Linked DNA regions of Styela clava. The protein of the gene in region 3 binds, or shares a complex with, the protein of the main gene of each other region. Links are inferred from orthologs where the notes say so. Each region holds a gene or a part of one and is shown on either strand. Other genes may lie near its edges. The genes, in order: peroxisomal biogenesis factor 19-like, peroxisomal targeting signal 1 receptor-like and peroxisomal membrane protein PEX14-like.

Region 1 (8,005 bases), on a different chromosome or scaffold from region 3:
CTTTTTTCCAAATTTAATAAGAAATAAACCTGTAAAACCTTTCAGAACTGTGGAGATCGGCATCATTTCTAGCATTATAGTGGTATTCAAACTGAATAAAACCATCATCCCGCTAACTTTTTTTACTGAGTCATCAGAATGGGAGTCTTCTTTTTTCCCAAACAACTTTTTAGTCCCATGATCTTTTTAGGTGGGTGTCGACACCGTCAAACAAGGCTTCAATCCCATTTCAACTCAAACCAGCGATACAAATTTGAAAAATAAATCTGGCAACACACTTATAGTTGACAATCATCTTGTTTAAAAAATTATATCAGTGTTAATGAAATGAAATTTAAATGAAGCAAATTGAAACACATTAATAATTATCAATAAATAATCAATTGAAAATATTTAAAAATAATTAGAAAATTAATCACATAATTGCACAATTTTCAGGATTCATATCTGGCCCAAACATGTTCCCGCCACCTGGGAATCCCCCTCCTCCAGCCCCAAATATTCTGCTCATGTCCATGGGTGTCTCCCCACCACATTTTTCTAATAATTCCTGGGGAGGGTTGCCACATTCTTGCATTTTTTCTACCAAAGCCATAAGTTCGTTCAGCCTTTGCTTTTTCACTTCTTTGGTGTCATTTTCATTATCGGCCTCGAAATTTTTACAAATTTTAACGATAACAAGACTTTGCTGCTCATAGCGCTTGAAGTCTGTTTCAGGTACTTTATCCTTGTTAGACTCTAACCAGCCAGGGTATACCTCCGAAATTTGTTTCATTGTGGGATACAAAACGTCTTTAGACAATAAATTCTCCATCATGTTTTCCATCATAGAGATAAAATTATTCTCCATCCCTTCCATGTCCCCCATTTGACCCATCATGTCACTCAACCCTCCCCCCATCCCTAAATTTCTCATTTCTTGGAGCAGTTTTTCCTCTTCGGTAGCACCTGTCATATTCTTTAGTTCATCAGCGCTACTCCCAATTCCAGAAATTGTGTCTTCCATCACTTTGTTCAAATCTGCAGGGCTAGCTTGTCGTTGACCTGCGCTGCTTCCAGATGGCCCGGTATTGCTTGAAGAACTCATTGCAGAAGGCACGGCACCCCCTAAAAAATATAACAAAAGACAAAATAAACATTAGATTTGAACAGGGTAGTAAAAAAGGCCCTATGATGCCTAGAGCGCTGTACCTAACTACCAGTATGTTAGCATCGCAGATTGAAATCTTGGATTAAAACACCATTGTCGCCTCTTATTGGTGTATAAAGACAAATTTCCTTCATTAGACTCAATTTAAATATCTTGGCTATCTTGCCCAGAGAGCCAATTTCCTGAGGCATAATTGGGGGCCTCCCCCAGTGTGTTGTAGCATAATGTCCCCAAGTTGAACCTATGTATAATGGGATAGCAGCTTATTTATATAGAATCGATAGGTTCCAAACCCATATCAGTTTTTTGCCATATCTAGGAGAGGCAGCGAACAAAAGACACTGAAGCGGATAAAGCACACTGAACCAAACTATGTGCTAATGGTGTCATCAAATGGTGTTTATTGAACTAAATGTCAGGGCATCTTGAAATTGGAGAACTGATACTGATATATATCATTTGTTCATATCATACCTGACGCAGCATTTTCCATAGTACTTGGAAGATTCTTCAACTGTGACGCAAGTTCTGGGTCATCATTAACTAATTCTTTCATTGCGGATTCCCACTCTTGTTGAAGTCTTTGAGAAACTTCATTGTCAAAAAATTGATCAAATATTTCTGATGGAGGGGGCACGCTCACATTCTGAGAGGTTGAAGACGAGGGTGAACTGGCAGGAACATCTTTTGGAGGTTCTAAAGACTGAATATAAAAATATTGTTTTACAGACATTTCTACAGTTTTACTTTGAGGAAACTAATAAAGGTCCTTATTATAAAAGAAGCCGATTCAAAAGAAAAATCGCTACTCGTCGCATCTTTGGATCTTAAATTCAACCTCCATATCCATCAATACAACCAGAGGGTTTTATAAATTTCCAAACAGATAGTATTCTGGTTTTTTCAAAAGTCATTGTGCCTTTTGCATGTCACAGAATGCTTGTTTTAAAGCCTTTAGAGAAATAGCAGCTCAGTACCGGTTGGAGGTGCAGTTCTTACCACTTCATGGCAACTCCTGCCACGAACGAACTGCGGCAGCTCTTGCCATGGCTTTATAGCGCTATTCAGTATTAACGGTATATTCACAAATTAATGTACCAGATTTAATTGATCATGCGGAATTATATCTACTACTACCCCAACCCCAAATCCATCCAAACTGTATCCATAAGAAAAACATTCCAACTTACCCAATATTTGTCACCATAAGGAACTGCCCTGCCTTCACGGCCCACCTGCCGTGGTTACGGCAGCAAAATTTTACCTGCCATTGGTTTTCAATTTGCTGCCGCGGCAATGGCAGCCTGTCATTGGTTTGTGGCAGCTAGAAAGTTAGTCGCCATGGGTTTGGCCGTAGCGGCCATCATCAGCAGGTGGGCCGTAAAGACAGGGCTGTCCCTTATGGTGATAAATATTGGGTAAGTTGGAACGTTTTTCTTATGGATAGTTTTGATGGATTTGGGGTTAGGGTTAGGGTTTGAGTAGATATAATTTCGCATGATCAATTAAAATTGGGTATATCAATTTGTGAATATACCGTTATAACTGAATACTGAATAGCGCTATAAAACCATGGCAAGAGCTGCCGCGGTTCGTTTGTGGCAGGAGCTGCCATGGAGTGGTAAGAACTGCGCCTCGCATCATCCCTGGCCATGTTTGGAGTAAAAGGTGCCATACAAAAGAGGTGCAAAGAAAACTGTGCATAAAAAAATGGTTCTCCAAATTCATTCTATCAGCATTTTACCTTCGAAGAACCTGGTGAATTTTTTTTCTCTTCACTTCCTTCTACAGGTACTTTTACTTCTGTTGGCTTTTTATCAAAGTCAGACAAAGCATCGTTCAGCAAATCATCTAAATCCGCATCCATTATTATTTAATTATTTTTGACTAAAAAGACACAAAAAGAAAATTACAGGAAAATAATTTAGAACTGATTCAAACTCAGAAAGTACATTTTGTAACAATGATCGGATCGTTGGTAACACAGATTGGAAATGACAACAAAATTACATGGCCATGAGGAATTATAAAATGGGGTCTAGTCTCCAAGTGTGGTACACTGTCAGACTGTACACTATAGGAGACGCTATTTTTCAAAAGACAATAATGGCTTAGTTAAATTAACACAATTTGACCTCAAAATAACCTGGGAGTCAAAAAGCGAAAAATAGCAGCACTGACACATTTATTTTCAGGCAAGAATATTCTGATCAGTCACGCCTTGGTGGTTCCAAATCGTGTCAAAGTCTGAATGAAGCTGACCAAACCTGACATAAGTATCGCAGAACATACGGAAAATACACTCATATTTAAACATTTTGGATTCAGACAACAATTAATGATCTCAGGAGGATATAATTTCAAGTAGCAAAAAGGCTTTTATCCTGACTTTCAATTTCCTAAAAGGTTGAAATGTAATTAGGTTTTTCAAAAATGATTACTGTTTTTGAGAGCTCATTCTCTGCCTTATAAACTGGTCAGATTCTAAAAACCTTTCAGCACAGTTTGTGAGACATGTTTCTTGTCTTCCAAGGCTGTTTCCAACTCTATCAACACATATATTCCAACAGTCTGATGTCAGTTTATTGACGATGACCTTCAATTGGTTTTGCGCTTCCATTTTCTGTTGTTCTTCTATCAGCATTCTTGCAAGATCTGGATTATTTTTCAGCTGTTCCGTGACATCCTGCAAAGCGTTTGCATCAAAATCCATTTTAAACGTTTTTTCTTCACTTTAAACACGTAGAAGTAATCAATATTTTGAAATAATGCAGCAATAACGACAAAATATAACAGATTGCAGGTGAGTAAATCGCGTAGCGAGTAATGTTTTGCAATGAGGTGAAATATCCGATCGAGCGTTGGTATTGTGCAGGAGTGGCTCCGGATGAAATCCGGAACCTGCATGAAAATGTCTCCATAATATATATTTATACTCGCAATTAATTCTGTTGAGCCTGAGATTTGCAAAGTTATGCATTTTTTTTTAAATTGTAGGGTACCAAATAAATTCATGTCTGGTTTGAAATCTATAGATTTTGAAGATTGCACACTTCGGGGGCACATTCTAGGGGTACATGTCGCACAACTGTATCTTAGACCAGTAAGGTCTTGAACATGTATCTATCCCGTCTCTGTTTTACTGTTTAATTATTATGCAGACACTGTTACATTTTTGAGGCAAATAAACATACATACATACATTTTTCTGTTTCCTTATTATAACGACCACGACTAAAATTGAATTTGCATATATATATATATATCCAGGGTGGGAGGAAAGGAATGAGACGACTTAACGGCTTAATCATGTGACGAACCACGGCCACTCGTCCGGTTACAATTCCATGTCGGGTATGGGATTAGTTAGTCAGTTATTTGTTTCGGATGCATGGACTTGGTGGTCGAGGAAGGCGTAACCAACCAGTGGTTCGGTGAAAACCACCCTTATGTGAACAACCTACGGCAGCGAGAAGCCCAGCAATCCTTTATCCCCACACAGGGTAATCAGAAGTGCGGTTGAATTCCGAGCGCTTAGCCACACCGTCTATTTACCTATACCTACTTCAACTATATTTGGGAGCCCAAATGTGACAGTGCAATTCTGAAACGATATGCGCTTGTATGTCTTGCAGAAAGTGCTACTTGCAAGCACAATATTTACGAGACGAAGTTCATTTTACATACATTTATGCTGGAAATAATTTTTCATTGATCTAAATGCTTTTTCTTGTTCCAATCTTTCAGGTGACGGAAAATGACAAGGAGGTAAACCAATACTAATAATGGGTTGAAATACCCCTTCTTATCATATCAGTCCCTCTTAAGGGTGAGAGGTAAATTACCATCACACCTCTGACTACAAGAGTTCATGGATTCAAATCCTGATCCACAGTGCTGCCTATTACTTCACCTTTGTAGATTTGTTCACAAACTGCAACCATCGAGTCAATGCATGTGAAAAAGGTAATGGTGAACTACAGCAGTGCAAGATATGGTTGGGACTGTTAACCATATGGGAAGCTGATGTTTGAAAGATTTTATACCTCTTTTGAAGATAAATATAAAAATTCCCTTTTATCTACCTTATTTGTTTCGGCATCCCCATTAAAAAGCCCAAAATCAACAGACCATGAAGCATATTAGCATAGCATTTTTAATTTAATTTTCACCTGCTATTAATAATTGCACATGCATATTTTTGTATTATCAGAATATGAAATAGAATTGATTTGTTCTTTCACTGCACAAAAGCAATTGCATTAACATAATTAAAACCATAGAAATATATACTCAGTAACAATATTTATTAATAATCGACTATATATGATACACTGTGGGTATAATTAATAGAATAAATGTAATGAGGCAAATTGGTGATAGCTGTATTATATTTAGTGCAATTTATGCAGAAATGGGATAGTTTGAAATGAAAAAAGGAATATGCTACAACTAAGTTTGTCTTTATTAAAAAATCTCGTAGATTTGCTCATTTCCACACGGGAGAAGACAGTATTTGAATATGCATAGTGAATATTGGGTGAAATTTCAGTCCATTATGAAAATGCAGTTACAGGTTTTCATATATTTTTTACACTTACAGAAATCATTGATATAACGAAAAAGAATTTTCGTAACAGGGTTTGATTTGTCAGCCTTATATTGGCGATGCCGACAAAGGTTGCGAGTGTTAATAAAATGGTTGACATATATCAAGAAATGACTTCATAACGAAATGGAAATTGTGACAAGACTTTATGGACACCAACCCTGGCTCACAGAAATCACAATACATGCAAAAGTCTGATTCAAGTTATAATCACAAAGTCTTAAAAGGCACTTGATCAAAAGTAAAATATACATAGGCACTACTCAACAAATATCAAAGGGCTGTCAACCAATGTAGAGTAAAGAGTTTACTCTGGGGAAGAAATTATTATTCCTAAATATTGAAGTTTAGCTCGGACTTTATAAATTAATATATTAAACAGTTAAACCATATATGAAACAGCACAAGAGTTAATTTTATTAGTTAAAAAAAACAGTGAAATTCTAAATTTCATTTAACCACCACTTTGAAAAATCTTTTAATCATCTCAGATTCAAGCGGCTGCTATACAAAAAACAATTAAAGGCAAATACGCAAACAATAATTTTCACCATAAATTTCAAGCACCAAAATTGGGTATATTTGGAACTAACAGGTCCCCAGTTAAAATGATATACCCTGTTATAACATTACACCTTTCTAATTACAAGGCAATTTATATTCAATATAATCGGCATAATTTTCATTCAAATATGTTACCACAGCATTTTTTAGCTGCATCAAATCATTTTCACTATTATATATATTGATTGTGGGACGGATTCTAAATTGGTCGTTATAAACTGAAATTGTAACTTGGGTTTTGTGAAATTTGAAGATGTCTTTAGTCATCACGTCTGCTTCAGTGAGCCTAAAAAATAAAAATAATATTATTAGTTTAAATTTATTTAATAAAAAAATTTTCATGTTGAAGAACTGGGATGATTTAAATCAGTTGTTCTCAAACGATGGGCCACAATTTTTTGAGGGGACGTAAGTTAATTGGAAATATAAATAGGTTAGATTTGATCTTGCTCGCCTTATTTTGGATATTTAGATTCTTTTATTTTGGTTATTTGTGTTTCATCCATATTTTCAACGTGTTTTTGAATAAAACATACTATCGCCTTACTATCTGATATTTGAAGCTTATCGTTAGCTAGTATTTTTCAGGTGGGGCGCAAGACTTGACAAATTCTAAAAAAGGAGCGCGGCTTAAAAAGTTCGAGAACCACTGATTTAAATTGAGACCTTATTGATAGCAGAAAGATCAACTACCCCAGGTTTTAGCCCCGTGTAACCCATAGTGGGAGAAATAAGGTGAGCTTTGATATGATAAATGGAAAGATTCAGCTTCAGAAGGTTGCTTATCTAAATCCTTGTTTAGAGCAAAGAAGCAAATGTATTTATTGTCTAGTTTTCTAGGTTCAATTTGGACTCTATAATTCGAAGATAAAGATTGATGAGGGTTCCTCTAATTGATGCTTTTAAAACTATACCGAATGACAAAGCAGATTTGAATGGCATGACTTCATAACAGATGAATTTTAGACATTTTTTAGGCTTTTTCGTAAGATTCTTATTAGATGGTTGGTCCAACATCTATTAAAAACAGGTTATTCAGAGATGAGAAAAGAGAATAAAAGAAACCCTTTACAATTAAAAAACAATGATTCATGCATATTAAAGGTGAGGGCCAGGATTATTAATTACGAAAGTGAAAATTAATTTCACATTATGAAGTTCTAAAATCCATGCAGTATCCATTTTCCAGGAATAATATAAAATATGTTGTAGTATTCAACCTTTCAAATCACTGTTATAAAATAGGTACCTAATAGTCAAAAATTTTGAATTTCAGAATTTCACTATAGAGTTTATTTAAAAATGAGATTTTTTCAAAATAAATTTCAAGGTATTTTCGAAATGTTCTATCCTTAGTATGCAACAAAAAATGAAATTGCCATTTATCTTGATTTTTTTTGAGTTATGGCTCATTTTTGAACTTCAAAGAAGAATTTGTTATTAAAATAATGCTTGTTATTATTACTGCATTAAGATATATACGTTGAATAAGATACATGAGCAGGACACCATAATCAATAGACTATGAAGCCTAATTCATAAATTATTATGATACATGCAATGCAAGACAGTATACGAAATTACTTGAACATTTTGACAAATCATATCACAGACAGTGAGTGGGAAGGCGTCATGCTCATAGCAGGTCTTGGCAAAAACATGTAGCAAGAAAACAAGGCTTC
Region 2 (7,191 bases), about 3.9 Mb from region 3:
CAAAAAATTCGGTATTTGATATTTTATTGTCTTTCGAGAATGATTCGACCATTTCATCTGCCGCTTTCTGTAATTCTGTCTTTTCTTGAACTTCACTGCCAAATTCCTTTGACCTGGAAAAACATCATCAGTTGAAAGATATTAGACTATGATAAAAGTCATATATACCAACTAAAAATCACTTTAGGATTCAGTTTGGAATGAAAAAAGAATTTCGAACGGAACAAACATTATCTGGTAATATTATACATACCAGTACCTAAAAGTTCATGCATGGACATAAAACAGTGGTTCTCAATCGGGGGCCCGTGGCCTACCATGGGGCCGCAGAGCAGTTGGAGAGGGACCACCATGTCAGGGGCAAAATGATAAACAGGGGGATGGCTATCAGTGCTAAAAGCCTCCGTGAGGGACCACAAGGCATAATACATGTCAGATCTAAGTCAATCATAAGATAATATCTCACCAGTCTTCAGTACTTGTAACATCATCTATTTCTCGTATTCTGGCAGGTTCATAACCCATCATATTAGGTCCATTCAAATTATTATAAAAAGGTATTTCTTGATGTTGTTCTGAAAAGTTGATAAATGGACAAAAATTATGAGAAACATACCAATGAACAGGGAATAATGTGATAAGTTCAACATGTGTTCAGAATTTTCGACCAAATACAAATCACATGAAGTCAGCAATTGAACAAAGAATTTTGTTCAGCTTGTTAAGCCACTGAGTTATAAATATACACTCTATTCCTAATATCCTGGCACAGACTCTGGTAATATTTAAATTCTCTAAAGTTCTTAATGATATGACTTCATGTTTTTGAAATAACACATCATAAACAATGAAAAGCACAAGACATCTAACCCTACTAAAATATAAGGAAAATTGAAGCAAACAACAAGAAAATGTCTGATAAACAATAACATATAACTTAAATTTATATTCACCATGTCGCAAAAATTCTTCAGCCCACAGAGCTTCTTCACGTCCAGTTTCTCGAAATGGAGCAGGCCTAAAACTTTGAAAATCTTTTTCCCAATGTTGTGCAGTAACTGAGATTTGAATTTCTGTTGATTGAATAGCGTGCTATTATTTGATTTAAAAATACCATGAGCTAATTCAAGCTATATCTAGACAAATCATTAATCACAAAGTCATTTACAGCAAAAACTCTGCACAACATTACATATCCATCAATGCAATAATTTTCAAATCACAAGCAATACCCATTGACTCAATAAAATGTGAACAAGACCTGAGTATGTAGGTTTCAATAAAAAACACCAACGAGAATATCGGTTGGAAACCGAATACTTATCGATCGATAGTTAGGGGATCCCCCAAAACAGAAACTGCAGTTTCGATTCATCCGCTCGTGTAACTTGCGCACTGCGCATCGCACACACACACTCGGCGGGTCTCAAAATTCTCTCGCTTTACAAAAATCTAGATCACTTAATCAATAATTGATTGATAACTCGCTAATTATACGACATAATTCGCCCAAAATCAATTAGAATCTGGTCCGAGATAAGATGAATGCACATGCAAAATCTGGAGCAGATTCAATCTCGCTTTCGTGAGATATCGCGTGCATCTAACAGACACACAGACAGACATACATACATACAGACAAATACCTATCAATATACTTACCGATCTTAAGATCGATAAGTAATAATTGCTCAACCAAAGCTTGGCACATAGTATGTATGTATGTATGTTTATTTGTCTCAAAAATATAACAGTATATGCATAATAATTAAACGGTATAACAAAGACGGGATACATGTTCAAGACCTTACTGGCCAAAAACACAGATGTGCGACATGAACCCCAACAAGTATAACTGCAGTTTAGGACTGCTGCGTTATAGTAGGACAACAGACATGGAATATACAATTAAAACTCTTGTACAATACACAGGACAAAGAGGTACGGCACATCGACGATATGTACAATAAATAGATGAGTAAACTTCACACAATAGTATAAGGCAGAGTAAAATGTTTTACGTTGTGGTGGTCTGGAATCCAGTAAACGTGCTTCATGTAACAGTCGTCCCATATCGAATGTCTGTGGATGTTTGACCACCATTTGATGATCTTGAAGAAACTCATTTGCATATTGTTCCGCGAGAGGTTGATGAGCTCCATGGCCTGAAAAAACACATCAAATATTACAATGTTAGAAAAATTTTTGATATTATTGAACTAGACAATCTTCAAACGATTATTAGGGTGAAGATATAAAGAACTATCATCAGCTGTTTAAACACTTCATGACCTAATGGTAAAACTGTTGAACCATTGTTGACATAACAAGTTGACGAAATCTGCCTCAATTTTCAACATCTCATTCATATATAAAATGTATGAAAATTGGGTAGAGGATCCGGGATGACCATCATTCTCAGCATAGAACAGCATGGTCACTGTTGCATGATGTATCAAGAATGCTTGTCTAGAGCATTGTTATGGGAGTTGTTATGTATGAAAATACATATTCACTCATATCAGCGTATAAAGTCACACCCTGTATTATTGATTGTATCATCAATATATCACCAAATGATGTTGTCAGGTTGTTGTGTATCAGTTTTCTACATACTTATAAACGATTGATTGTTGAACCATATATTAATGTTAGTAGATGTTATCGCTACTGGTGATAAAAGGGATTTCAGACTTTTGGTATGGTAATTATAATACAGTATCTGAATGCAGGAATGTGATCACCCAACGGTGCATAAATCTAACCTGCACTCTACAGAATGATTGACCAATTGCAGAATTGACAGACGGATGAATAAACCAAGGACCCTTACCATTTACTCTGTTAGTCAGTCCTCGATGCTGAAACGATAAATCCTGGTTAACGTGCTGAGTTATTTTCATCAAAGGATTAGCCCCTCCACATTCACCTGCCACCAGTTCCTTAATCGCAGACATTTTACTTCGGAAAAGCCTTCCGCAGCGAGCCAACTCAGAAACTCGAACTGCGATGAATGACCACTGTGAAGCTAGTAGCAAACCTTCTTCGAATTGTGCGCAGCGGTGCGTTAAGTCTCGTTTTTGTGCTCATTGAAGAGTGATATTACAGCTTTGTGCTTTTTGAAGGGTGATGGAGTAAAACGTAGGCGATTTCTAAATTCCACACGGCAGAATTGCTCTCGATTATGGAATTGCTCTCGATTATAGATATGGAAGAAACATCAAGACCAACCATCCGAGACCAACAATCGCCGTGAAAACGCACAATTGACGATTTTCACAGCGCTAATGTTGTTATTAAAATAGCCGATTATTTTCGGTAGCGTGACGTGTTATTTAGCCGTAATGACAAATAGCGGAAGACAAATGTCTTGTTTCATGAAGAAAGATTAAAATTACATATTGTTTATTTATTTTTTGTCAATTGTGCGAGCGAGGCACTTTTTATTCATTGTAAAAATACCGGCGGGAAACTAGCGTAACTTTTTATATAAAATAATTAATGTGTAAAGTATCTTCCATCAACTTTTTGAACTAAATTTAACTCAATGAAATTTTATTGCTGTCGCAGGGATTTGTCTAACGGTTGTCTTAAAAGCATTACAACCGAAAGAAATGCGATAGAGCCGTGTCAATATTACAAGAACAGCTCAGATTTATCAAATTTGCGAAAATACAAATTACATACAACACGATATTATCAGGCACTTTACCACACATTTTTATGTCCGCGGATTACCGTGTTAATTTGAGAAATAACGCTTTCATTTTGTTGACGCAATTTATCTCACATTATTATGTCCACAGTAGTATATTACAGTAGACTCTATCGACGCAACAACGAGTTACACTGAACACAATTAAATTAATATAGAAGGACTTTTCAAATTCCTGTAGTTGTCGCGGATTAAATATTTCACGCCACATAAGAGTCATTGTACGCTGAATACGTCAGCCGTTTTAACGAACACACAATCTCGGCGAACGTTTTAGAAGCCGTTGCATGGGAATTTCCGATTTTGAACAATCGGTGATTTTAATAACAATATTAGTGCTGTGAAAAACGCAGTCGATGTTATGAAAATTTCATAAGAAATTATTCTGCGCTTTTAATAGAGCGTCTCGCATAGATTCGAGATCAGACATGGGATAAATTGTGTCCAAATATGTTCTTAATAGAAAGTCCTTCCGCTCAAGTGGCACCCAATTTTATAATTTCTTATCAAAGTGGAATATATGAAGTTTATCACACATATTGAACCTAAAACTACTCGAACTTAGAAAAGGGAGTACTTCCCTGTTGAAGATACCTCAATTCATCAAAATTACGTAAAGCGAAAAAGGGTTAAATTTTGCAATTTTCAAATATTAATAGAAAGTCTTTCCGCTCAAGAGGCACGCGATTTTATAAATTCATATCGAAGCAGAATATATGAAGTTTATCACACACATTGAACCTAAAACTACTCGAACCCAGAAAAAGGAGTACTCCCCTGTTGAAGATACCACTTTTCATCAAAATTACGTAAAGCGAAAAAGGGTTAAATTTTGCAATTTTCAAATATTAATAGAAATATCTTCCGCTCAAGAGGCACGCGATTTTATAATTTCATATCAAAGTACAGTATATGACGTTTATCACACACATTGAACCTAAAACTACTCGAACATAGAAAAGGGTGTACTCCCCTGTTGAAGATACCCCTTTTCACCAAAAATACGTAAAGCGAAAACGGGTTAAATTTTGCAATTTTCAAATATTAATAGAATTATCTTCCGCTCAAGAGGCACGCGATTTTATAATTTCATATCAAAGTAAAATATATAAGGTTTATCACACACATTGAACTTAAAACTACTCCAACTTAGAAAAGGAAGAACTTCCTTGTTGAAGATACCCCTATTCATCAAAATTACGTGAAACATAAAAATAGGTAAATTTTGCAATTTTCAATTATTAATAGAAATATGTTCCGCTCAAGAGGCACGCGATTTTATAATTTCATATTAAAGTGGAATATATAGGGTTTATCACACACATTGAACCTAAAACTACTCGAACTTAGAAAAGGGAGTACTCCCTTGTTGAAGATACCCCTTTTCATCAAAATTACGTAAAGCGAAAAAGTGTTTGATTTTGCAATTTTCAAATATTAATAGAAATATCTTCCGCTCAAGAGGCACGCGATTTTATAATTTCATTTCAAAGTAGAATATATGAAGTTTATCACCCACATTGAATCTAAAACTACTCAAACTTAGAAAAGGGAGTACTTCCCTGTTGAAGATACCCCTTTTCATAAAAATTACGTAAAGCGAAAAAGGGTTAAATTTTGCAATTTTCAAATATTAATAGAAAGTCCTTCCACTCGCGATTTTATAATTCCCCCCTCCTTTCAAATTCATGGAAAACTGAAAAAGTCACAAATAGCGCGTGCGATTGCTTTTCGCTAAAATTCCTGATTGTTTTTATCAGCGTGACGTGTTATTTAGGCCGTAAACACTTTTAGTTGGTGTTTATTCTCCCTGAATCACAACAATTATTTCACGACAACGATAATAATTACTTTATTTTTGCCCAGAATTGAAATTCGCTGAGAGTTATTATACAATCAATCGAAACTAAATACAATTAGCCATTAGGCATGTTTATCTCATATTTTTACATCAAAAGATTGAGTGGTATTTCAGACTAATAATGTTTATATTTTGACGCAAGAAGACGTAACCGCGAGTTACGTTGGACACAAGATTATATCAATATAGAAGAAAGTTTTAGATTCTCGTAGCTATCATGAAATGAATATTTTACTGGAGAGAATGTTGGTATACGCTGAAAAACTCGGCCTTTTCAATGAGAGCGTAATCGCGGCGACTGTTTCATAAGGGAATGGAAATTTTCGGTTTTGAAACACACCCTTTTTAAAATCCTGACTGCGCCCCTGGCTGATTTTCATCATTCCACCGTGAGCTACATGTAACCCTAACAAAAACGATGAAATAAAGGCGCTCCGTAGTATGTGCACCAAGATGGCGGACACCGGAACGTAGAATGTGTACCAGGTTTGGGTTAGGGCATAATTTTATTCCAGTTATATTTAGAGATGTACCGATACCGATTAATGTTTGGTGTTTGCTTTAACTGATTAAGATACACTGTACAATGTACAGTAACGCTAGTAATCTCGGTGTTCAATTAGAAAACTCATAAGCCGGGTCGTCCAATTTGAATTTAATGTCAATATCGCGAGCTTCGAATATTGTTGTTCGTGTTTAAAAGAATATCGAATATCACCCACACATTCTAGCGCCGCCGTCCTACGTTCAAATTAAAAGCATTTTACAAATATTTTCCTTCGTGGCTAATCGTAATCGTCGACGCAATAAGTCAAAGCCAACATGAAAGAATATCGATCAGCACCGACAAAAAGAAGGCCTACCTATAACCGTCGAGGATGTTTTTTTACTTTACTATTTTATAATATTCTACAATTGCTATCATATATTTTGAGACATTCTAGAGGGATAGGCGGTCACGTCAATATATCTATAAAGTAATTGTGTAGTTAAACAAAATTAAATTAATACCTAATAATTGTGTCGGAATTTAGTTTATCGATGTCGATGGACTAAATGACACGCGTACTTGACGACAAACAATCAGAATTTATACCCGTGCCAAAAGTATATGTGCCGTTAATAGGATTTACGAATCGATTCGAATCGCATCTTTTCCGAATCGATTCGAATCAGATTTACGCGATTCGGAAAAAGAGAGCGATTAACCGAAAAAAACAAAACATTGACCGTTTTTTAATAAATCGTTGTTTTCGGCGGCTTTAAATCTGCCGAATGCGTGCATGCGCACTCCAAATAACACCAAATTACGGGACCAAAAGAAATACATTCAACATTTGTTAATCGTTGTTTTCGGCGGCGTTAAAACTGCCGAATGCGTTTATGCGGCACTCCAAATAACATCAAATTACGGGACGGAAATGAATGAAAATGAATTTTTCGTGATTGACTCATTTGTTTCAAATTCGGCACAACACACTCTTCTACGCATCACTCGAGATGATGTGTGGCGTAATTTCCACCAAACTGCAAGTTCAGTTTTCCACTAAATAGCCTAAGTTTCTATTATGCGCGAATTTAAATAGATCGTATACTTAAAAATTCGTGATAATTT
Region 3 (7,254 bases):
TTGTTAATGGTTGTGCTGGGAACTGACTCCTGATTAAAAAGATTAATGCTGTGAACGTTTTTTAAATATTATTATATGGAACGTTTCTTCTAAAGTTTCTCTTTGGCTTCACATACAAAAATGTAACCGCCGTGATACATTGCTACAATCTTTCCCCAAATTTATTTTAAATTGCTAAACTGCGTTTCCATCATGCTGTAACTTGTTCAATTATACAACTTGTTTAGGTCTTTTGACAATGCATTACTGAGAAAAATCATTTTTGATTTTTTTTAATTTTCAAACTTTTCACCAACATAGGAACTATGAGCACTCCGAGTCACAAAAAATTGACATTTACCTGCTCAAAAGTAATCCTTTGATCGACGTTATTTCTGCTTTTAATTCTCCGATTGCTGAATTAGATACAGTTCCATATCCCGATTCAGCCTGCTAGATAATTTAAATATGCCTAAGTAAATTGAAGTGTCAAATAAAATCCACTCTTGTACATATCTGTTACAATACCATGTCATATTCTTTAAAGAAAAAAATTTATCTCCAAATTCCATAGTTTCATTCTATAGTTTTTACTACTTCAAGTGTATACAAATAAGAAATATACTAGTTAGTACTAACTCTGAAAGATGTTAAATTTGCAGCCACTTGACCAAGTTTTGCATTTTGAGTTCCAAGATGATCTTGCATTTCATTCATAGAACTTCGGATTTCCTAAATAAAAAATTTTTCTTATTCCACAAATCAGCAAAAAGCACAATTTCTATGAATTATCACAATGGTTTTTTGAAGTTTCAAATACACAGAAAGGTAAAGGCATTTAAATGTTAACAGATGAAGTAGATTTTTGTTCGTGTCGGGGTTAGAAAATGATGCACTGATTGTATACAATATGATTTTAGGATGTAAAACCACAATAAAATGATAGAAATGATTTCAAACAACAAATAATTAAAACCACAACAACGTTTATCCATCGGATTAATGTTAGGAGGAATTTACTTTATTTACAGTACTCCATGACAAACGAGGTCTGAAACAAATGGATTTTCTCTACAGCTTTCCCTCAGTCGATATTTTTGTTTCGTTTCGAGAAACACTGAAGTATCATTTAAACCAAGGGAATTTTTGAAGGGTACGATAATAATACATCCAAGAACCCAGGCGCAGATGTTGAGAGTTTGAAAATAAAGTATTTTACAAATAAAGAGTTTTATATAAAATATTTTAGAATGGAAGTATTTAACAAAAAGTTTATATACGGTAAACCTACCATTGCACATCACCCATGAATGCATTTATGGTATACCTGCATATTTTGTGTTAATTCCTCCTGAACATTTTTCAAACCTTCTTCCATCTTTTCAAGTTTTTCTTCTTGTAATTTAGCAGATTTCAGGAAAATTGGTTCAATAAATCGCTGAAATAGAAAGAGAAAAGATTAAAGTTAGTAAATAGTTAAATTGAATATGAAATGACATGGATATAACTTCGAAAATGTTGATTGATGGGAAAGATAATTAATTCTTCTCTTGACTATAAACTTTGTCAATGACAATTTATCAGTACATAGATACAAATAGAACTTGGAAAACTGGTAATTCTGCTGTATTTCAGCTATCGAGTCAACATAAAAATCTGTTACAAATCTCAATAACACCAGAAAATCACTGAGTTATAATTACGATAAGAATCATGTGATACAATCAGTAAATCAAACAACAATACAGTAGAAGTGAAAATTATACGAAAAATTCACAACCTTATACAAATAGTATAGTCCATAAACAACACCTCCAACTATGACTGCGATAGCAGAATATTGCCGAATTCGGGTCCAAGCAGAAACTGAAAGAAAAACAATATATAAAGTATTGATCTCAAAATCAAAAAGTATTTATAATTCAATAATTAGGAAGGAATTAAGATAAAATGATAAATCTAAAAAATTACTATCTACTACTATCAACAATCTAAAGGTAACAAAAACTAATATGATGGATTAAAAATATTAAAAACTTCTGTTACCAATCTAGGTTGATTATGTCGCAAGGTATTTACATTTTACCTATGAGAACATGAAATTGCTGTCAATAAAATTAAAAAGAATGTGTGACGAATAATGTTTTCTGTATCTTTAGGAACAGAATTGGACATGAATTTAGAATTCAGATAGGCCTATCTAAAATTATATTTGAAATAAAAAATATTCAAACATTGAGTGAATGTTATAATGTTTTCTGTGTCTAAAAATAATATGAACAAATAAATATTTCAAATAATTGGATTACAGCAACAAGTGTGTGACACCTTACTGGTATTTATGAATTTCTATATATAAATTGTAAACCTGGCGGCATAGCGATTTGTTCGGAATTTGACAACGGCACTGATACATGATGATCAGAGGAAGAATTTGATCTTGAGACTGCAATTTCTATTTCTTTATCCGTTAATCCTAAAAAGAATTTAAATATATTACTGTATTAGAAGACCCGAAGACAGCCACCATATCCTGATAACGTTGATCCTAAAAATAATTGCAATATAATAAAAGACATGAAGACAGCCACCATATCCTGACATCACAGTTATTTTGTTTTCAGATGCACAAACTTTTACGGTTGAGGAAGCCCCAACCTACAGATCTGACCAGCGATTATTCCAAAACATTGCCAACACCCATTGTGCTGTTGTGCAGAAAAATTAAGATGTAGCCTAGCCTAGTTATTATATTATTAAAATAAATTATTGATTTCTGCATCCCTTAGTTTTTAACTCACCTTTCTTTAAAAGAAACTGTTTCTTTTGCTCCAGCGGGCTTTGACTCACTTTGGTGCTCTGAAGAAATTTTACAGCTGTGGATATTAAAGATTCGCGTGGCGGTGCCGGTGGTAACTCTGGTATATTCTCCGGCAAAGAGCTCATTTCGGGCATTTTTCCAACATGGATAATCAGACTCACTACTAAACGCTGGACAGCACAGGCGCAAACTCTGGCAGTTGCGGCAAACTTCTGATACGAAACGAAATGAAAAATTTATGATGGCGTTTTTGTTTTGATCAAATATTGTTCGACCTTTGACCTTCAAAAGTGCATGAATAAATCAAATACTGTACTGTACTTCTTTACTTTGTTGATAATAAAATATTAATAAAATATAATAATAAAATATTAATAATATATTAATAAAAACAAAATATGTTAGACTAGGCTAAAAGTATATGCCCATACTTCTTATTTGTCCACCTAGTTCGGTACCGCTACGTAACATCACCAGGCAGGTTAAAAACGACCTGCAAAAACAACAACAGGTACCATTATGACGCAACAATACAAAGTAAGCACACGTGTGGGGACCACAAAATATGGGCTAGAGATGTACCCATGTATCGGTATTGGCAATATCGGCTATTTTTCCGGTATCAGTCAAATATCGATATTTCCGATATATTCACCTTTTTGATATGATCCAGAATGTTTTAAAAGATATGTTAAAATATTACTTTTTAATTTATTTTTCGCCCGGAGAGATCGTGAACTATGAGCCATGCATGTCTCGACTCCCGCGAGTGGTAACGGTAATAGAATTCACCTGTTTTTAAATATTTACTAGCAGAAATAGCTCATCTAATCATCTATGCGCGGCGGTGTGTCTCAACGGGCTAAGCGTTAGGAATACGCTCGCCACCGCACCTCTAATTACTCTCGAATCCCATGCAGGGATGGTTATGTGCGAGAGGATTGCTGGACTCCTCGCCGTCGTTGGGTGGTTCACGTAACCGCTGGTCGGTTACGGCTTCCTCCACCACCAAGTCCATGCTTCCGAAAACAAACAATATACCTAATCTCATACCCGACCTGGAATGGTAACCGGACGAGAGGCCGTGGTTCGCCATATGGATAAGCCGTCTTATCGGCTTTCCTCTCCCCGGGATAAATATGTAAATCCTAATTTGGCTATTTTCGCTGCCAAATTTTTATATTGACATTTTTAATGCATATTAATTATGGGGGGAATATATATATATCAATACGGCACAGAGAAGAGAGCAACTAAGCGCCCAGTTTTAAATCATACAGTGGAATCGAAGTCCTTTTTTACAGCACAGGGTCTTTTTGGCGCGGTAATAAATTCTGACTGTTTATCGTCAAGCGCGAGTGTCATTCAGTCCATCGACATCGTTAAGCTAAATTCCGACGCAATTATCTCTCTACACAGGTATCAAATATTGTGATTATATTAATTTTAATTTTGTTTGAATACACAATTTATTTATAGATTTATTGATGTGGCCGCCTAGTATTATATATACGTATTATAGGTACTTCTAGTCGGCGCTGATTGATATTCTTTCATTTTGGCTGTAATTTATTGCCGCGACAATCACAATTATACACGAAAAATGATATTCGAGGTTCGCGATATTAATATTAAATTAGAATTGGACATCCCGGCATATGAGTTTTCTAATTGAACACCGAGTTTACTAGCGTCAGTGTACAATGCATCCGAATCAATTAATGCATCTGGATACCAAACATCGATTTCTCATGTGATATATATATCTCTTTTTCAATCTGAAATAATGTGTACTATGAATAACGCTCAGAGACAATAGTTTTAACCCGTCTGCCCTACACAGCACACTTAATTAAGGTAATAATTACATAGTATCGGAATATCGGCCTTTTTGTAATATCGGCGTATCGGTATCGGCGATTTTAGTTGGTATCGGTATCGGCGACAAAAGTGGTATCGGTACATTTCTAGTACGGGCGCGGTAAATCCATTAACACTAAGTCCAGTTGAACTGTTACAATTTCAGTCAAAAAAGTTTGGTCACCAGGGACTAGTCATATTTTGTACTTTTTATGGTATTCAATTAGACTTAGTATATACTATAGTAGAGATGCACGAGCCTAGGACGTAGTATTTATAGAATATATATGAAATTTTCAGGAAATTTTTCATCTTTAAATGGCAGTAGTTTTACATAATCATAGCGTAGTTTTGTGAATAAAAGGTGCGGAGCCTTTTTAAACATGGCAAAAATTTTTAGAAGAGGCATATGTCTTATAATTTTATTTATCAAAAACAAAATTATAAAGTACAGAATTAGGAGATTTTTAAATATAAAAAATATGAAAACCGATATCCATTTACTTAAATAACACGTTTTCCTCTTTCACACGTTTTAGATTAATCATTTTAAAACGTATGGGAGAGATTTCTTGCTATCGACCAGGAAAAAACAAATTTGCGTTATTGACAAGGTCTTATTTTAAGGGGAAGGCTTATATTAAAATCATTCTTAAAATTCAGGCTAGGTCTTATTTTCGGGGGAACACGGTAGCGATACGACCCTTCAAGGTCACATATTTGCCCAGACGATGTTGCCATATTGTTACGTTTATCGCATTTTTGAAACTTGGCTTTACTAAAGTAAATATCAAGCCGAAATGTGTTGTTTGCGAGAAATTTTTAGGTTGATTAAACGCAGAGCTTGAAGCAGGGATGTCCAATTCGTTTTCGATTGAAAATATTTTACAATTAATATCGTATATTTTAATTTAGTCGAAATAGTTTGTGCGGTCTCGGCAATTGCGTAAATCTAAAAGCAAATTGGGTCGTAATTAATCGTTCTTTAAATCAGCGCCGACTCGAAAAATAAAACACTATTTCCGGTCTTAATTCACCATCATTAGCAGATTGGCTGAAATTTGGGGATCGGGTCCACTCATTTGATTATGGCGATGAACGCGTAATTTGCGTTTTTTGAATCGACGAATCGTTTCGTGAGCAAAATTTAAGCCCGTGGTAGCTGCCCTGCCAGACGCCCAGCAACTACCTGTCATCTCGTTGTCTCGCTTGTTTCCCGCGCTTACGTACTATGTGTCTCAATCAGTTTCAGTTGCTAGCGAAATTCAGTAAGAAGAAACAAAACAATGAAAAACAGAAAAGCAAAATAAAAATTCTACTATTAAATTCAAATTTTGAATTTCATGTGTATGATCACTCACCTAAAATTATTGAATCAATTCATACACGCTCACACACAACCACAGGACTATAATAAAGTTACAAAAAAGAGAGAAGCATTAGATAAATTATATGGTAAACAAAAGAAATAAATAAATACGAAAAAAAGAAATTATAATAAAAGATAGGAATTGTGATAAAAAATAAGAATTGTTTTTTACACCATTTTATTAATTTTATAAAAAATTCCAATCCAAGAGTGAACAGTATTTAATATAAAGACAAAACAAGATTACGCCAAGCTGAATATAAATGGAGTCAAATGCCAAATTGCCCAACCAAAGTTGAGTGCATGGAGAGGTGGACTAAACCGCTTCATTCACCAATGAAATGCCAAAATATTGCCAAATTGTAGTCCAGGGTACATCAGTTATTAAATGCTACCGGTAAAAAAATCTAAATTTGAATTATAGGTATCGTTAAACGTCAATTCCTTCCTATTTTTCGAACTGAACCGGATATTTGGACAGAGAATATGCGCATGAACTCTCGATGACAATATGGTCAATGAAGACAGCTGGGATATCTTTGAATGTAAGCGTATGCAGTAAAATCGGAAAAGGCAAAGTTACAAAAATATGGTAACCCTACTTATGGGGCCTATATTTTTTATTAATTATGATTGATAGAAAGTCATATACGATATTGTATAAACATTTGGATGCATCGTCAAAAAGGTATTACAGGAAAAATTCAAAGTGTCTGTAATCAGTTCTTGAGAATGACTTTTGATAGGGGCCGGAGAGATGGTGTTGCGGATTTGTTCAAAAGTGAAAAACTACTACGTGTTGAAGATTTACTAATACTAGAGATTTGCACATTGACGTGTTATCTTCTACTGGTCAACTCACTAGTTGCTTTGATCGTATATTCGCGAATAATAATACCCGAAATAGCAGAAGTCACGACAGATTTTTTGTTCCGTATGTTAGAACGTCAATAGCACAAGAATCGGTCACATTCGTTGGGCCTACAGTATGGAACCCATTTCCTAATAGTATTAAAAGCTCGAAAACGACGTCCGAATTTAGATCCAAGCTTAAGAGACATTTATTGGAATTCTATTAGATTCATTGAGTTGAGGACATCCTACTTTTCATACATTATTTTCCAGATACAAAGGGACCATAGAAGATGAGAGAAGAACTACAGAGATTTCACACAATAGCGCTTATGAAAGTGGCCCGCATTTTATGCCAGACTGCCAGACTGTA

The links.
Region 1: the proteins of peroxisomal membrane protein PEX14-like (region 3) and peroxisomal biogenesis factor 19-like are in contact, whole or in part, in an NMR structure (PDB 2W85), measured with the Homo sapiens proteins. The link is inferred for Styela clava from reciprocal best matches to the Homo sapiens genes PEX14 and PEX19. Residues at the interface, in NP_004556.1 of Homo sapiens: Leu28, Thr31, Ala32, Lys34, Phe35, Asn38, Ser39, Arg40, Val41, Ser44, Thr48, Phe52, Lys56, Leu58; in NP_002848.1 of Homo sapiens: Gln67, Phe70, Phe71, Leu74, Phe75, Ser77.
Region 2: the proteins of peroxisomal membrane protein PEX14-like (region 3) and peroxisomal targeting signal 1 receptor-like are in contact, whole or in part, in an NMR structure (PDB 4BXU), measured with the Homo sapiens proteins. The link is inferred for Styela clava from reciprocal best matches to the Homo sapiens genes PEX14 and PEX5. Residues at the interface, in NP_004556.1 of Homo sapiens: Thr31, Phe35, Asn38, Arg40, Val41, Ser44, Pro45, Thr48, Arg49, Phe52, Lys55, Lys56; in NP_001124497.1 of Homo sapiens: Glu59, Leu62, Val63, Glu65, Phe66, Leu67, Gln70.

Annotation. Positions count from the first base shown.
Region 1 is NC_135254.1:4,399,229-4,407,233, forward strand, and holds peroxisomal biogenesis factor 19-like, read right to left. Parts: upstream 3,036-8,005; 5' UTR 3,018-3,035; coding exon 2,895-3,017; intron 1,854-2,894; coding exon 1,625-1,853; intron 1,108-1,624; coding exon 416-1,107; 3' UTR 278-415; downstream 1-277. Other genes in the region: uncharacterized protein LOC120332725, read right to left, coding at 3,588-3,863; uncharacterized protein LOC120332696, read right to left, coding at 6,399-6,609. UniProt on the Homo sapiens protein: Necessary for early peroxisomal biogenesis. Acts both as a cytosolic chaperone and as an import receptor for peroxisomal membrane proteins (PMPs).
Region 2 is NC_135256.1:14,572,714-14,579,904, reverse strand, and holds the start of peroxisomal targeting signal 1 receptor-like, read right to left. Parts: upstream 3,018-7,191; 5' UTR 2,958-3,017; coding exon 2,834-2,957; intron 2,166-2,833; coding exon 2,022-2,165; intron 1,074-2,021; coding exon 954-1,073; intron 576-953; coding exon 467-575; intron 114-466; coding exon 1-113.
Region 3 is NC_135256.1:10,700,149-10,707,402, reverse strand, and holds the start of peroxisomal membrane protein PEX14-like, read right to left. Parts: upstream 3,101-7,254; 5' UTR 2,935-3,100; coding exon 2,781-2,934; intron 2,456-2,780; coding exon 2,348-2,455; intron 1,846-2,347; coding exon 1,760-1,845; intron 1,418-1,759; coding exon 1,307-1,417; intron 712-1,306; coding exon 619-711; intron 433-618; coding exon 341-432; intron 30-340; coding exon 1-29. UniProt on the Homo sapiens protein: Component of the PEX13-PEX14 docking complex, a translocon channel that specifically mediates the import of peroxisomal cargo proteins bound to PEX5 receptor.